Alligator mississippiensis: one gene and its partner. The protein of the gene in region 1 purifies or fractionates together with the protein of each later gene. This does not show direct contact. Links are inferred from orthologs where the notes say so. Each region holds a gene or a part of one and is shown on either strand. Other genes may lie near its edges. The genes, in order: CDC25C and SUFU.

Region 1 (7,944 bases):
CACTGGTATCTGAAGGAGCAGAAACATTGCATTACCACCAAGACAGTCCGCTGGCAGTCACTGAGACCACGAGTCAGCCACAGGCCTGTGTTCCTGTGCCTGACTGTACCAGGCAAGGCAGAAGGACATGTCTGGGGCTCATTGTACTTGGGAGCTGCTCTCCCTTACATTTTCTCACAGTGGGTAATGACTATACCATCTTCCCAGTGCCCTGAAGTGACCAGCAGCCAGCTGAAAGAAAGCTCCTCAGCACCCCCTGGCTCTTGGTAGCCTGGAATCGGGCGAGGTCCGGGACTGGCTCTGTGATGCTTGTTTCTCTGTCCTGGGCATGGCTCTGCAGCCTGTGACACAGGACGCAGCATGCAGGACTCACCTCCATGTCTTCCTGCTCGTCAGGGAAGAAAGCTGCAAAGCTGGCCGAGTGATCTGCTGTCCTGTGTGCGTAGGATTCCACCTCGGCAATCGGGCTGCCTAGCTCGGTCATCTCAGACTCCAGGCTTCTTACATCCTAGCAGGGAAGAGGAGAAGAGTTTGGGGCTGCAGTGGTACCCAGCTCCCATACCTTCTCTGTCGTGTTTTCCAGCACCAACCACCAATCCAGAGAAACTCCGGAGAGTAGAGGCAGACTCCCTACAGTGCCTGCGTAGCCTCACTGCAGGGAGTATTTTCTAGAGCTTGCCTGGAGCAGAGTGCATGATCTGCCCCAGGGTCAGAAGAGGAATGCTTGTTCCCACTCCAGTTCCTGATTCTGTACTGGAGTCAGGGCTTCATTTGAGGAACAGACGGTACTCATGGTCAGAGAGGGACGATCTGATCTAGCCCAGCTTCTTCTCCTTCCCCTCTCGTAGGAGGAACCCTCACCCAGCCCGAGCTCTGTCGCTGTACTGCTACCCACTCCGTGGGAGGGAGTCACTGGATTCTGAGGAGCTGAGCTGTTAACTCACCAGCGGAGCAGTAAGGCAAGTCAGAGGATCCATCACTTCCTTATGGAACAGCAAGGGCTTGGACACATGCCATCCTGGATGCTTAAACCAGCCCCCCTCCTGAAACGAGAAGGGTCAGGAGCTCTCAGCTCTCTGGCTCTAGGAGGTGCTGAGAACTACCTTCAAGCCCCCACCCCTCAGGTCAAGAGCCCAAGGCAAGTTCAGCTCCAACCCTGGCATTAAGCAGCCACTGGGCACTGGCTGTGAGGAGGGTCACCAGCATGGTGGGTGGGTGAGAGCAGGAAGGGAATCTAGAGTTCCTGGAAGACTGCAACCCTCCCAAAAGCAGCACTTGCAAAACACTGTCGTGTCGTAGGGAACTCCAGTACTGAGACTGCTCCAGCCTGCCCTTCGCTGGTCCAGCAGGGACTCACCTTTGCCATGCTCATCAGGGGACTGGCCATCTCACTGCTCTCACAGTACATGGCGCCTGGTGTGCTGCACCGTACCTGGGGCTGGAACGGACAGGAGGGAACGCTCACTGGAGACAACTGTAAGCATAAACTCAGAGCTGCAGCCAGCATCCCAGCGCACCGACTCGCCACATCTCCCAGACAGCAAATCGCCTTTCTTTGAAGACGAAAAGGTACTCACCGGGAGAGACCTCAGACACTGCCTCTGCGACTCTCTGCAGGAAGAAAGATAGCCAGTCAGTGTCCTGGCCCCTCTTCCTGGCCAGCTTGCACTGCCCTGGGACAGGGCTCCCATCCCTACCTGCATCCTCCCTCGCATCCACAGAGCCCTTCCCAGCCCCGTGACAGCGCTCAGCGACAATTCAGGACACCTGTGACACCCCGCCCCCGCCAGCAGGATCATGCCATTTTGCAGGGAGGACAGTTTTGGAGGCCACGCCACGTGTCAGCGGCAGTGCTGCGACTTGAACGCGGGATCCTTTCTGTCATCTTACACCCTTTCCCCGTTTGTGCTGAACGGGACACAGCCAGCTGGCTGGAGACTGGCAGGACAGCTCAGAAACTACTCACTCGTTTCTCTGGTTTCCAGATTCTGGTGTCAACCCGAGTAAGAAATAACACCAAATCCAACACAGCTGGCACCCGCGCATCAGCCTCTGTGCAAACATCACCTGTCCAGGTCCAGCAGGTGCTAGACCTGGAAGAGGCAGGTACTGCAGACACCCAACCGCTGCGGGACGAGCAGCCGCTCTAGGCTCTTTAGGAACTCGTGCATTGTCCGCGCTCAGCAGGAGCTGTCCAGATGGGGACAACACCCGAACGGCACGGACACGCTGACAAGCGAGTCAACAGCCGTTTCTGACAGCATCCCAGCCACACGTGCCGAACGGGCTGGACCGTCCCCTGAATGGGCAGGCGGGCACAGCAGCGAACCAACAATACTACCATCTCTGTTCCTCGGCTAACCGCTTAGATGGGCAGGGGTTGTGTTGAAATGAGATTCAAGTAGGAGGACAAGGACTCGGCAGCTGAAAAGCCACAGGCCAACGCTAAAATCAGCGCAGCTGGAAGGTTTGTAAGACAGGACAGCCGAGGCAGAGACAGATCCACTTCAGCGCGCTCTGCGCAAAGGGAGAGCCCTGGGCCAATCGACCCACTGCGAACACGCAAAGAATAGCTGTGCTTCAAACTGCCGCGCAGTGCCGCCACCGCCCAGACTCCCAGCGTCGTGAAACAGGCTGGGCGCGACACGGTCCGAGCCAGCAGAGCCCTAGCCGCTGCCCGGCCAGAGGCAAGGACGGCTCGCGGGACGGGACAGGACGTCCGCCCGGCCCGACCCAGCACTCCTGACCCGGGCACAAGACACGCCCGCCACCGCTCGCAGCGGACGAGGAGCCTCGGGAGGGACAGGCCCCGCTCGCAGCACGGCGCAGGCTGCCGCGCAGAGACCGCCGGCCCCGCAGCAGCGAGCAGCCAGGACACTTACGGCCCCTGCCCGCGTCCCGGCGCGTCCGTCCGGCCTGCAACTGAAGAGACACAAGTAGGCGACACCCGCAGCGAGCGGCCGCGCCGGGCACGAGCCACAGCGAGGCGAAGGCGGCCGGCACCAGGGCGGGCCCGGGCAGCTGGGAACGCCCGGCAGCCCCGGCCCCCGCCGCGGCCCAGCGCGCATCCTCGCGGTCCGCCGCGCCGCCACGAGCGCCGGGCGGCGGGGCAGGGGCCGGGGGGCGGCGGCGCCTACCAGGCTCGGGCCCGCCCGGGGACGGCGCGAAGCGGAAGACGGTCATCTCCTCGCCGGCGCTGAGGTCGGACAGGTCCAGGCAGCAGCGCGGCGTGGCCCTGCGGGGAGAACGCGCGAGCGGCTCAGGGCCGGGCCGGGCCGGGCCCCACGGGAGGCGGCGGCCCGCGCGGAGGCCGGCGAAGCGGCGCTCACCCGGGCGAGGCGCGGAGGCCCCGGGCGAGGTCCGGCGAGAAGGGCAGCGAGAGGTCGGCGTCCCGCAGCAGCCCCAGCACCATGCGGCAGCCGGCGCGCAGCCCCAGGCGCGACCCGCCCCGCCCCGGCGAGCGCCGCCCCGACATGGCCCGCGGAGAGACCCCGCGCCGCCCACTTGAATGTAAATAGAACCCGCCCCCCGGCCCTGCCGCCCCGCCCCCCGGCCAATCAGCGCGCTGCTCTCCGCCCCTCACCAATCAGCGCGCTGCTGGGGGCGGGGGAAAACAAACCCCAGAGCCGCTCTCCGATTGGCTCGCTGCGCTGCCCGCTATTGGAGCCCGGGCGGGCAGGGCTATTGCCATTGGGGGCTTCCGCCGGCGGGCGGGGCTTCGGGCGGCCAATGGCCGCACGCGGGCGCACGTGGAGCTTGTCGACGCCGCACGTGGGCGTGGCGCAGGCGCCAAGAGGCGGCGCGGGCCGGGCCTGGCCGGGTCGGGCGGTGTCGTACATGCTGCCCGTCGCCTCCTCCCGGCCCGCGGCGGGGCGCAGGTACGGCCGCCCCGCCCCGCTCCCCGCGGCTCTGCCGGTGCCCAGCCCGGGGTCTCGGTCCCGGTCCCGGCCGCGGCTGTGGCACAGGCTCCCGCCCGCCGCGTCCGGGAAGGCAGCGGGGCTCGGCGCAGGGAGACCCGGGCGCTGCCCGCCTGGCGGGGGTCTCCGCGCCGACCCTTGCGGCCCCCGGGGGGCGCGGCATGCCCGCCCGCGGAAAGGCGGCGCCGGGGCGGGCGGGGGAGCGGCGGCGGGCTCGGGTGCCGGCAGGCGGCTGTGGGGGGCGCCGGTCCCCCGCAGAGACTGGGGCGGGGCGGGAGCGGCGGGCTGGGTGAGGCAGTTGCGCGGTGTGACGGGTGCGGCTGCGCGTCCGTGCGCCCCGCACAGCCCGGAGCGCCCCGTGCGCGGAGCAGCGGCTCGCCGCGCCCGTAGCTGCGAAGCGTCCGCTCCGATGCCCGCAGGAAGGGAAGGGAGGGAGCGGTTCCTCCGCAGGTCGCCCGGGCTGTGACGCCAGCTCCGGGTGTGCGCCGAGCCCTGTCCGCACCCAGCAGCGGTGCCGTTGCGCGGCGCCCTTGAAAGGACCTGGTGCGCGTGGAGGGATCCCGCGCGCCCCTGGCAGACCTCCGTGCTTCGGGCCTGAGCTCCCGCGGAGCCGGGGCTCCGTCCCCCGGGGGCCCCGTGGCGCAGCTCCGGTTCCGCGTCCCGGACCCAGCGGTTGACTTGGGGGAACGCGGCGCGGCGCCTCCGTCGGTGACACAAGCCCCCTGGACGCTGCGGGGTGCCGCTGAGCAAGCTCTTCTCCCCCGGAGCAGGCCCGTGTCCTCCGAGCCCGTTTCTTTCCGAGTTCGCATGGTCAGCGTCGGGGTCGGCACGTGGCCCAGCCCAGCGCAAGGAGCCGGCTCGGGATGCAGGTGTGGTGGTCTCTGCCAGGGACGTGGCTTGTCCAGGCTCGGGTCTCGGGTCTCCGGTGCTGACTGGGTTCCTGTTCCCCAGATCTGACATCGAGACGGATGAGAGCACCCTGCAGCGTAGGCAGAAGCAAATTGATTATGGGAAGAACACCCTGGGCTACCAGCGCTTTCTGCAGCAGGTTCCCAAGTGAGGGCTCTTTGTCTTTCACCTCCTCTCCCCGTGCGGGCCTGCTGGCTCTGGCCACAGGCCCTCGGCACAGGGGAGACGTCAGAGCTTGCTCCAGAGCAGGGGCTCCCAAGCTGCACCCCTGGGGTGTGCAAGACATGTGAGGGGTACCTGAGAGAAACTGGGTAATGGCAACTTGAATTTCCATTATAATAATAATAATAGGCGTGAAAGGGGCAGCTGGCAGATCTGGGAGGGGGCACGCAATAAGACAGTCTGGGAGCCCTGGCTCTGGAGCGCCTCTTCCTCCTCGCTGACCCTGCCGACGGGCAAGTTGCTCTTCCTGCCCCAGGGGACGGCGGGGCCGTTCTTGTCCTGTTCCCGCTAGGATAAGGGGTCTTGTCCCGAGGTGGGAGGATCTGGCCCTTCCTCATGACGAATGCGATGCTGTATTTGTAGGTCCACTCGGCAGGCAGAGGTCCACCCTCAGACCCCAAACAAGTACAAGAAGTACAGCCGCCGCTCCTGGGACATGCAGATCCGGCTGTGGAGACGGGCCTTGCACGCGTGGGACCCGCCCAGCCAGCATCCTCTCCAGTGCCACCAAGGACTTGAGAGGGAAGTGTCTGCCAGGTGTTTGGCTCCTCCAGAGCCTTCCAGGGGGAGTGCTCGTGCGGCAGGGTGACGGGGCAGCTTGTGCCCACGCTGGGCTGGATGGTGGTCTCCTTAGTGCCGCCTCAAAACGCTCGCTGAGTGCGGCTGCCCTTACACCTGCCCGTGCAGATGGCTCGAGACGGTCAGTGAATGGGGCGTTAACGTGCCCAGGCCTCCAGTTGTCAGGGGCCCACTGAGACTTGGCGCCTTATGATACTGGGCAGCGGGTGCTTTGCACCTCTGGAAGGAGAGGGGCTATGCAAAGAAATCGTGTCGTGCACAGTGTTGGGGACGCGTTCGCACGTCTTGACGTGCACCATGTGCCGTGGAAACTGGTTCCCTGCGTTGTGTGGAGTTACCCGGGCATCTCCGGTGCTGCTGGGGAGGGGGGCAGAGCTGGGGAACGGGCCTTCGGTTGCTGGGTCTGATTAGAGAGCAAAGACTGGGTGCAGTGTCCCACGTGGCTGTGCATCGGTGTGTTCTGGGGAGCAATCCTGCCCACCGTGGCTGGGGCTCAAGGGAGAGAGACTGCTGTGCCTCCCCGCAGCTCTGAGCCCTGGTGTGCCCCAGCACTTGCTGCTGCTGCCTCTCTCTTTGGGGTCAGTGACTGGAACTGCTGTTTCCTTGCAAGACAGGGCCTGGCAGCTCTCTGCAGCGCTGGAGATGGAGACAGACCCTTTGTGTTGCCTCTCTGATCACTGGCTGGGAGCCTTGGCTTGGCCTCCCCAGAGCCTGTCCAGAGCAGCACTAGGAGAGGTAGGCGGGGGATGCTGGTGGGGTGCGGGGGTCCACGGGGCAGGAGGCTTTCTGCGGAGGGATGGTGGGGCTGAGCAGGGGGCGCTGGGGGCGGGGAAGAGTGGTGGAAGGGATCAGCGGGCCTCGCTCGGGGCCTGGCCTTGTGCCTCTCTCTTGGATTGCTTTCCTGTTCCCGTCGGGCTCACGCTGGTTCCCCCTCGCTCAGCTGGCGGCTCTGGGCCCCTCGTCTCCTTGCCTGCCCCCCGAGGAGGATCCCGGCAGGCTGCACGTCCGGGGAGACGCTGCTTGTGGCTGGGGCCGCGTGTCCGGGGCGTGCGGCGCACCCCGTCTTCCGCAGCCGGCTCGGTGGGGGCCGCCGGAGCCGGAGCCTGCGCCCTGACGCAGCTGCTGCCCGGGCTCCTGGCCCCGGGGAGCGGCGGGAGCGCGCTCCTGGCCCGGGGGGGCGGGCCCTTGCCTTGCCCCCGGGCCGAGGGGACGCGGGCCGCCGGCCGGGGTGAGCGCCGGGCCGCCCGCTCGGGCGCAGGGAGGCGGCGGGGCCCTGCCGCGGGCGGGCGGGCGGGCGGGCGGGGGCCGGGCCGGGGTGAGGGCGGCGGTGCTGCGGGCCCCGGGGCCGGGGCGGGCGCGGCGATGGCGATGGCGGCGGCGCGGACTACACTTCCCAGGGTGCCCGGGCCGCGCGGGCGCTGCGGGCTCGGCCGGGCCCGGGTGCGGGGAGCCCGAGCCGGCGGCGCCCGCGCGCCCGAGCCGGGCGCTGGACGAGGTGGGAGCGGGCCCGGGTGCCGGGCGCCGGGGCCCCGCTTGCCCGGGGCTGGTGGCCGGAGGCTCGGCGGGGCGCTGTCGGGCGGCGCGGGGCAGGGACCCCGGCGTGGTGTCGCAGGGGCGGCGGCGGGGATGGCGCGCGCGGAGCCCCGGCCGGGCGGGCCCAGGAGCGGCGCGGCGGGCGCTGCCCCGGCCCGGCCCTGCTGAGCGGCGCGGCGCGGCGCGGCGCGGCGGGCCTGGCTCGCGGGAGCCATGGTGCCGCTGGTGGCGGAGCAGCTGCAGACGCGGGCGCTGGAGGAGCCGACACGCGCGTCCTTCGGCATCCGCCCGGTAAGAGGTTTCCCGAGCGCGCCGAGCAGGCTCAGGCCCCGCGGGACATGGGGCCGACATCGTGCTGGCGCTCCGGGGCGGGCGGCGGGAGCCGGCAGGGCCGTGCGGGGTGGCGGGTCGCGCCCGGAGCTGCGGGGGAAGCTTGCCGCAAACCAGGCGGGTCCGGCCGGCGCCGGGCGCTGCGGGGTCCCTGGGCGTCCCGCGGCGCGAGCTCGGGCCGGGGCCGGGGCCGGGGCCGGGCCGGGGCTGTTGTCTGCGCTGTGGCGGTGGCTGCTGGGCGATGGGCGATGGCCGTGCCTGGTGGGGCTCAGAGGCGTCTCCTTGGAGGAGCGCTTTGTGACCCCCCTGGGATAGGGACGGAGTTTCTTCGGGGAGGGGGAGCCCCTGCATCCTCCCTACGGGGGTGGCCTTTTTGTAACGATCCGGATCTGGTTTTTCTCCCAAACAAATTAAGCACGCTGAGATGCTCTTGCACCCTGGCAAGGGTCTCTTA
Region 2 (8,125 bases), on another chromosome or scaffold:
TCCCTTTGTAAAGCTGGGTTAACGCCCACCGTCGTAAAGCGCTTTGTAATGGAGAAAAGGCACCGAGGAGGAGTGCAGAGCAGCAGTCCATCCTCTGCACTGCTTCCACGTTCTCCCTCGCCTAGCTCATGGACAGCGCTGAAACTGCAACGTCACGCCAGGCTCCGAGCTGGGAGCCATGCCAGGAAAGGACGCTGGTCCCACAACGTAACCGGAGCAAAGATTTCTTTCATTTGCAGGGGATAAAAATTCCCCACGTAACGTGCCCAGGATAGAGCAGAATCGGACCTGGATAGCTGCTAATGTGTCCCTTCATCCTTTGCCCCTCACCGTGGCATCGCACTGCCTGCACCACGCTGACTGACGACACGTCCTCTGGGGCCTTTCACCCTTGAACTAGCAATGGTTTTACCCCGGTGGGGAAAAGCTTCGCTATCCTCTTTTTACTGAGGACAGTTCAAAGCACAGAGAGGACAAGCAACTTGCTCAAACTCATCACAGTGCATAAAAGAGTGAGGAAAAAAGGAACCAATCTGTTAAATCTGGATTTGCTTTCAAAGACTGTGGTGTGTAGCACTGGGAACCCTGCTCTGATTACTGGACGGCATCGCTGCCCTGATCTCCGAGAGAAACACCAAGCGGAGGAGCAAACGCCAACGCTGCATCTCCGGCAGGACCCGCAGCAGGTTTTCTGAGACGTGCAAAACAAGGAGCGAGGCCGGGAGGTATGTGAGAAACGCGGTCTGCCTTGAGGACGGCCGGGCGAGCCATCCCACGTGCTGCTTGCCACTCCTGCAACCCTTTGCCCAAGGCGAGGCAGAAAGATGAGAGCACGGGCACGGCCCAATCTGGGACAGCAAGATGCGCTCGGGGCGTTGGCACGGGAGAGCCGAAGGGAGGAGACGGAGAGCGTGACTCACTGGGCTCAACCTGCTGCCCTTCCACCCCCTCCTGCTCTGGCCCGTCCCTGAATAGCGCCGTTTGTTGGGAGGCCTCGGCATCAGGGCTCGCCCAGGCCCCGGGGGACGGGCCCCCGGAGGCCACCGCCGCCCTGCCCACATGATGCTGACACGGCACCAAGGAGGGGATCAAAGAGAAGCCTCCTGTGCCGGGACCAGGCCCTGTCAGCGGGGATGGAGCAGTGCATTCTGGGAGCAGTCAATCCCAGCAGCTGCTCCTCCCACTCACTTGGAGATAGAGCTCCTCGTGGGAGCAGCCACCCCAGAGCACAACACAGAGCAGTGCATGCTGGGAGCAGCCACCCCAGTGAGAGCACAACACAGAGCAGTGCATGCTGGGAGCAGCCACCCCAGTGAGAGCACAACAGAGCAGTGCATGCTGGGAGCAGCCACCCCAGTGAGAGCACAACAGAGCAGTGCATGCTGGGAGCAGCCACCCCAGTGAGAGCACAGAGCAGTGCATGCTGGGAGGGGCCCCCAGGCCAGCACAACAGAGCAGTGCATGCTGGGAGCAGCCACCCCAGAGCACAACACAGAGCGGTGCATGCTGGGAGCAGCCACCCCAGTGAGAGCACAACAGAGCAGTGCATGCTGGGAGCAGCCACCCCAGAGCAAAACACAGAGCAGCGCATGCTGGGAGTGTCTCCCCCCCCCAGGACAGCACAACAGAGAAATGCATGCTGGGAGCTGCCACCCCGGAGCACAACACAGAGCAGTGCATGCTGGGAGTGTCTCCCCCCCCCCCAGGACAGCACAACAGAGAAGTGCATGCTGGGAGCTGCCACCCCACAACACAGAGCAGTGCATGCTGGGAGGGCACAAGGAGCAGTGAATGCTGGGAGGGGCCACCCCAGTGAAAGCACAACAGAGCACTGCATGCTGGGAGTGTCCCCCCCAAGACCAGACAACAGAGCAGTGCATGCTGGGAGGGGCCACCTCAAGGACAGCACAAGGAGCAGTGCATGAGGGGCCACACCAGAGAACACGGAGCAATGCATGCTGGGAGGGCTCAAGCAGCAGTGCATGCTGGGAGGGGCCCCACGGCCCAGCGCCCATTGTCCCAAGGCAGCCAACGGGCGGGGCAGCTCACCCCGAAGCCTGGACAATGACTGACAGCCCTCACGACCAATTAGCGCAGGGGCTCTCCCCGGGGGGGCGGGACTCCCCGCCTCAAACAGGGGAGAAGGGCGCTGAGGGCGACTGACAGACGGGACAGCCAATCGGAGGCCATCAAAACACACCCCACCCCGAAGCCGAGGACCCGTTTCGCCAGCATGTTCAGTTGCGCCCTCAGGCGGAGATTGGCAAGCGCGGGAGCCAATCAGGAAGCAGAACGAGCGGCCCGTGGGCGCCAAGCTCGGTTGACGCGTCTCTGTGGCCGGCGCCGGGGGGGGGGCGGGGCGGGGACCGCGATGACAAAGGGCGGCGATGCCCGCGCTCCCCCCCCGCCCCGCCCCGCAGGGGCCGGCGGGCCCCGCACTCACGTTGTCGATCACGACGGGCTGGTTCGCGATCACGTCGTAGGACTCCATGGCCAGCACCCGCCGCACACACCAGCCGGGGAGCCACAGCCCGGGCCGCGGGGCGCATGCGCGAGGGACGCGGCAGCGCGCGAAGCAGCCTGGGAGCTGTCTTCTTGAGGTAGGCGCGGGTTATGCTGGGAAATGTAGTCTTAGGGATCGCAGAGCATGCTGGGAGCCGTCTTCATGAGGCGGAGGGCGTGGAGCATGCTGGGAAATGTAGTCGGGGCGCGGGTCATGCTGGGAGCTGTCTTCGGGTAGGGAGGCGGGGCGTGCTGGGTAATGTAGTTCTTGAGGGAATTGCGGGGCATGCTGGGAGCTCTTCATAGGCAGAGTGCGCGGGGCATGCTGGGAAATGTCGTTCTCTGTGCATGTGGAGCTGTGAGCATGCCGGGAGTTGTAGTCCGGGGGGCGGTGCATCTTGGGACAGGTAGTCCCTTGAAGGAGGCTCTTGGCCACAGCAGGCCTCGGGCGGCTTCAGAAGAGGGTGGGTGACAATGCTCTGCCAGGCTGCGAACTAGGCGCCTCGTGCCCAGGAGCAGCGAGGGGCAGAAGAAAGGTGGCCCAGCCCGATGGGCACGACGTCGAGCCTCTTAAAAGGCAGAGCAGGTCATTGACAGCCGCGCAACCAAGAGTCAGCAAGGGAGCCGCAAGGACTATAAGGAGCCCCGAGGCCAATGGCATCCCTCGGCGCTGCCTGACTAGAAACGCCGCTGCCGGGGCCAGGCCTTTGGTTTTAAACTTGATGGGTCCTCAGGTGACTGAAGAGCCCGATTCCAGACACGCGTGGTCTTTGGGTTGGTCTCTTCCTTCCACCGCCGCCGCCGCCGCCGCACCGTCGTCCTGCCTCAACATCGAGTCGTTGGGCCTCGAAGTGGCGCGCGCCTTGGCACCCTGGAAAGGACCTCACGAGCCCCCCGGGGCGCTGCTCACCCCGATTGCGACTCACTGGAATGGAGAGATGATAAAATACGCTGTCTCCTTCCCTGCTCCAACCACACGCTGTTTGATGACTGCTGCCCAGCAGCGTTTAGGCTGAACGAAGCACCCTGGGCTTTTTTACAACCCAACAACACGTGCGCGGAGTATTTTAGCACCCGTTCATTCAGACATTGAGCCTCACCTTTAAATTGAATCCTGGGCAGATACTCTGAATATTGACCTCAGCTAATTTTATTGATTTTTATATCCTTCTCACTCGTTACGATCCATCGTTAGCGGGCCGAACAGCACGGGAGGTGTCATGTTAGCCCAGATAAATCACCAGAGAGACGTATGTGTGCCTTAAACCAACCCAAGTATTTGCTAAGGGATTCTGTTTCTAATATTTACCTTCTCCGGTTACCGCAGTCGACTTTTCTCAGGTGGGGAAACCGTTATTGGTATCACCGTACTAGGACAGGTGAAACATTGCGTATTGTTTGAGCCAGTACTTCATTCAAGTATAAATTGCTCGCCTCTTAGCAACTCTTATTCGTTTGTTTGCCCACCTTTCAGTCTCTGGCTGCAGGTGAACTCCCCGAAACCTATTTTGTGTACATTGACGTTTGGGCAAATATTCTTCACCTGCGCACATGGAAAACCCAGGGAGCAGGAACACCTTGCAGCTCAATTTGCTGCTTTAGCTATAATCCCACGTCCTGATCTTGGCAAGATTTATGGAGGCATTCGCAGCGTGCAAACTTTTACAGGTGCACGAGACTTTGCAGGATTAGAGACGTGGCTACAATTTCTAGCACGGTCTGGCCCTTCCCTGGAAGAAAGAAAGACAGAAAGAAAGGAGAGACGCAGTGCGGTTGTTGTCGCAATTGAGCCGTACACCCCGCTGTACAGAGCAACGACAGGAAATTCCCCAAAACTGGAAAACGTCGCATTTCTGCCGTCCTGCCTGCCAAAGTCTTACAGGCGTAGCAGTGCCCATGGACAACGGCTGGTTACGTGGACCCTTATCCTACACAAAACGCACGTGCGCGATTCGTTCTAGGAGCCGGAGTCAAAGGGGCCATTTAGGGGGCTAAATCCCGGCGGCTGTAAGAGGTCGAGGCTGTCACGCGCAGCATGAACCTCGCGCGTGTGCATGTGCACGTGCACGAGGCTGAGCCCCCCCTAGGCTCCAGGTTCATGGGTGGATAGGGCCGGGTGCAGCTGCCGGCGGCGGCCGCCAGGGGGCGCGCGAGCCTCGGGCGGCGGCAGGCGGCGGGGGCGGGGCCGGCGGGGGGAGGCCCCGCCCCATCCCCTCCAGGCGATTGGTGGAGCCGCGCGCTCGTCAGCAGGCCCCGCCCCACCCCGGCCGGAGCCGCCGCCGCCACCGGGCGCAGGTCGGGCCGGGCCGGGCCATGGAGGGCGCGCGGCCGCCGGCCGCCTTCCCCGCGCTCTTCCCGCCGGGCCTGCACGGCATCTACGGAGAGTGCCGCCGCCTCTACCCCGAGCAGCCCAACCCGCTGCAGGTCACCGCCATCCTCAAGTACTGGTGAGCGCGCGGGCCCGGGCCAGGGGGGCACGGGGCGGGGCATCCCGCGTGACGTCACGGGGGGGCGGGGCCCCGCGGGGGTGACGTCACGGCGAGGGGTCCTCATGGGGAGCTATACCCCAGTGCAGCTCTCACACTGGTGGAGCGCGCCCGGGACGTGACATCAGCTCGGCCGAGGAGATCTCGGCACGAGGGCTCGGGTGGAAAGACGGCGTGTCCGAACGGGTCTCGGGAAGACCACCGGGACCCCTAATCCGTATTTATTAGGGCGCGCCGATTCTGCGTTTCAAAGGGAGTCTCGCTTCCACCTGGCCGTGCAGGGCAGCGTGGCTTTCTGTGCGCGGTGCGGCGCGGCGCGGCGTGACCCGCCGACGTGGACGTTTGCAAAGGGGAAGATTTAGCTCCGGAGACTGGCTCTGTGCAACAGGTGCATCTCTCCCCGCTTGCACGTCTCTCGGGGCAGATCGGGAGCCTTTGGACACCTCCGCGCTGTCCGTGTGAGAGGGCGGCTGTGTTTTCTCCAGCATTTAGGTGTTTATTAAGAAGAGTGGCTAAATACACCGGAAGAGGGGTAAAGTTGCAAGGGGTAGAGCCCTATGGATGCACTCCTTCCTTTACGGTGCATTACGTGATACTATACGGTCCCTACGGGCACGTCTGCTGTCTCTGCAGAGCCCCAGAGCATCGTTAGCAGCTCCTGTTGCCCGCTCCCTCCTGCTTTGCTCTTGTCAGATCCCAAAAACAAGGCCTGGCAGCTGCCTTTAAGTGACCTCGAGCTCGTGGCGCTTAGCAAGGCCAAAGCGGGGGCTCGGGGCCCTTCGGAGGCAGCGTTGCCTCGTGGGCGGGTTTGGCACGCGAGTGGGCAAGGTGAAGCTGGTGGTGGTGCTCCCGTATGAACAGCTCGTGGCCGTGACGTGTGAAGAGATGAGGCCGAGCTGTCTTTCCATCAGCCCCCGGGCAGTCTCCGTGTTTTGCTGCATCTCGTGCTTTCAAGGCACTATAATGCAACGACCCGTTCTCTTGTGTTTCCAATGATATGCTAATAAATGAATCGTATTACTTCCGCTAATCGTTTTATGGCCCCTGGCTGGGCAGGTGTCTTTCTCCCTGGTATCAGACTTCCTAGGGTTTCCGTCAGTCATCAGAGAATTGCCTTTTGCAAATGCAAATCCAACTTTTTCCTCTGGCCGGTCTCATCAGCCCTTTGACGAGGGGCTGTTACATGCTGGTGCAGTTCTGGCTTTTCCAAAGGAAATCCCAAACGTTTCCATTCTTCTGAACCCGTTGTTCAAAGCGAGCGGGGGTGCTATATCTACATAAGTTGCAGCGCAGAGATGCGCGCAGCTACAAGATATGTAATTCAGTTCACTTACTTGCAGCTAGCGTGCGGACAATTGAAAACAGCAATTTAAAGGTTTGTGGGACAAGCGGATGACTCGGTGGACTGCGTAGAACAGAGAATTAACCAAGATGACTTAAGACAACTCCCTGCCTTGAAAAGGTTACGGTCAAAGGGCTGGCCTCCACTTCAGAGTTGTGGGTTGAGTTGATTTGCATTCAAATGCCTTGCGTCAAGCAAAATGTAGTAATGCTGATCTGGCCTCTCACTGCACATTATCAAACCCACTTTGGAAGCAGCCCATTCAGATGAAGGATGGGTTTTTTTTAACCTATTGCAAAGTACTTTTTGGTGCATCTGCATTTAACACTATTTTTGTGCATCTATGAGGATCCCATGCTGCTTTGGCTACCTGGGACACGTCTGCGTGCCCTCTGGGTTCATCTTGATCAGCTGTTCCCCTCCGCTGAAATGGCTCTGTGCACCCAGGTGCTGTTTTTTAGCACTTGCAGTTCATGGGAAGTTCACGTACTCTTCATTCCTTGTATTGAGATCCTGACCTGTTGTTGATCTCTCGGGAGAAGAGCCTTATTTTGCTCATGTGTTGAGCAAATGCTGAGCCAAGGGGCACAACAGAGTTTTCAGTGTCTCCGTAAGGAAGGATCTCTGGCTGGTCTGTAGGCATGCAATGAGCTGTGTGGCTGCACGGCCCGCTCTTACTACAAGGAGCTTGTCATTATCTTCCACCACCGAACTAGAGCTTGTTGTGAACCCCCGATGGATTCTCCACTGACGGTAGCGACTCTTCTGCCTAATGGGTGTTGGGTCTCGTGGTCACAGAAGTCCTGAGCAGCCTCCGATATAAAGCAGAGATGGAGGACAAACCAGGACCACAGATGGAGGTTGGTCCCTGTAAGTATTGAATTTTGTGTCATTGCTGTCATACTGTCTAACTCTTCTCCACCTTGGGGTCTTCTAACACGCGTCCCCAGTGCTCGTGCAAAGGATTTGGCTGGCGACTTTGCAAAATTCATAAAGATATTAAAACACAAACACCGCATAATTTAGGTTCCCACCCACATCCCCCATCATGTCTTTGTTTAACTTTCCTCCTCTGCTTCATTAGCTAAGCCCACCCCTCCACTCCAAAATGATAGCAGTCAGGAAAAATTACACTTTTTGAAGTGGTCTCCTTCGTTGTAGATGACTTTTTTTGTTTTCTTTCTTTTAGTGTAGCATCAGCAGCTTGAGGAAGAAGAGCAGAAGGACTCACGTGATGGAGAGACAGATTGCTTTGCTGAAGTGTGGTGTCTTCAAAGTGCGCCCAGTGCTGTTACTACTCAATAAAACGCTTTTAAAGCGAGCAGTTCCTGTTGATGTATTATTGTATACATTATAAAAAAATGAATTGGGGGCTTGGCCCCTCCTTTCAGTTGTGAAGTTGTACTATCTTTATATCCAATAGGGCTCAATACCTTAATAGAAAGAAGCATATCAATTGGGAAATCATAAACTGAATGTAAAGAGCATTAAAGTAGGCACAACATATGCTAATTTGCATGTGTCTGTATGGTGAAATGCTTGCGTTAATACTTCGACAAGAAAATGTGCCGTACAATTTGTAGCATATACTCTTTCCACAGGTGGTCCCCAGACTTAAAATAGAAGCACAACAAATCCCTCTCTGTGCCTTGCAGTAGTTGCTTTATCTAGAGGCCTCCTCTCTGACTATTCAAAATGTTCACTTCAATGTGTCTACCTTCTGTTTCTCTCCTTGTGCAAGGCTCTTCCCCCTTGCTCTCTCAAATGTGGTGCAAAAATCCATTCTAGGAAGGAG

The links.
Region 2: the proteins of CDC25C (region 1) and SUFU purify together in Homo sapiens (affinity purification with mass spectrometry; 4 studies listed by BioGRID and IntAct, counting the BioPlex papers as one, with this or other methods). This does not show direct contact. The link is inferred for Alligator mississippiensis from reciprocal best matches to the Homo sapiens genes CDC25C and SUFU.

What each region holds. Positions count from the first base shown.
Region 1 is NC_081832.1:79,615,016-79,622,959, forward strand, and holds the start of CDC25C (M-phase inducer phosphatase 3), read right to left. Parts: upstream 3,491-7,944; 5' UTR 3,476-3,490; coding exon 3,330-3,475; intron 3,236-3,329; coding exon 3,138-3,235; intron 2,923-3,137; coding exon 2,883-2,922; intron 2,863-2,882; exon of another isoform or gene 2,065-2,862; coding exon of another isoform or gene 1,967-2,064; intron 1,612-1,966; coding exon 1,578-1,611; intron 1,475-1,577; coding exon 1,358-1,474; intron 1,044-1,357; coding exon 945-1,043; intron 509-944; coding exon 374-508; intron 10-373; coding exon 1-9. UniProt on the Homo sapiens protein: Functions as a dosage-dependent inducer in mitotic control. Tyrosine protein phosphatase required for progression of the cell cycle. When phosphorylated, highly effective in activating G2 cells into prophase.
Region 2 is NC_081829.1:99,404,124-99,412,248, reverse strand, and holds the start of SUFU (suppressor of fused homolog), read left to right. Parts: upstream 1-4,763; 5' UTR 4,764-4,815; coding exon 4,816-4,949; intron 4,950-8,125. Other genes in the region: ACTR1A (alpha-centractin), read right to left, coding at 2,444-2,491. UniProt on the Homo sapiens protein: Negative regulator in the hedgehog/smoothened signaling pathway. Down-regulates GLI1-mediated transactivation of target genes. Down-regulates GLI2-mediated transactivation of target genes. Part of a corepressor complex that acts on DNA-bound GLI1.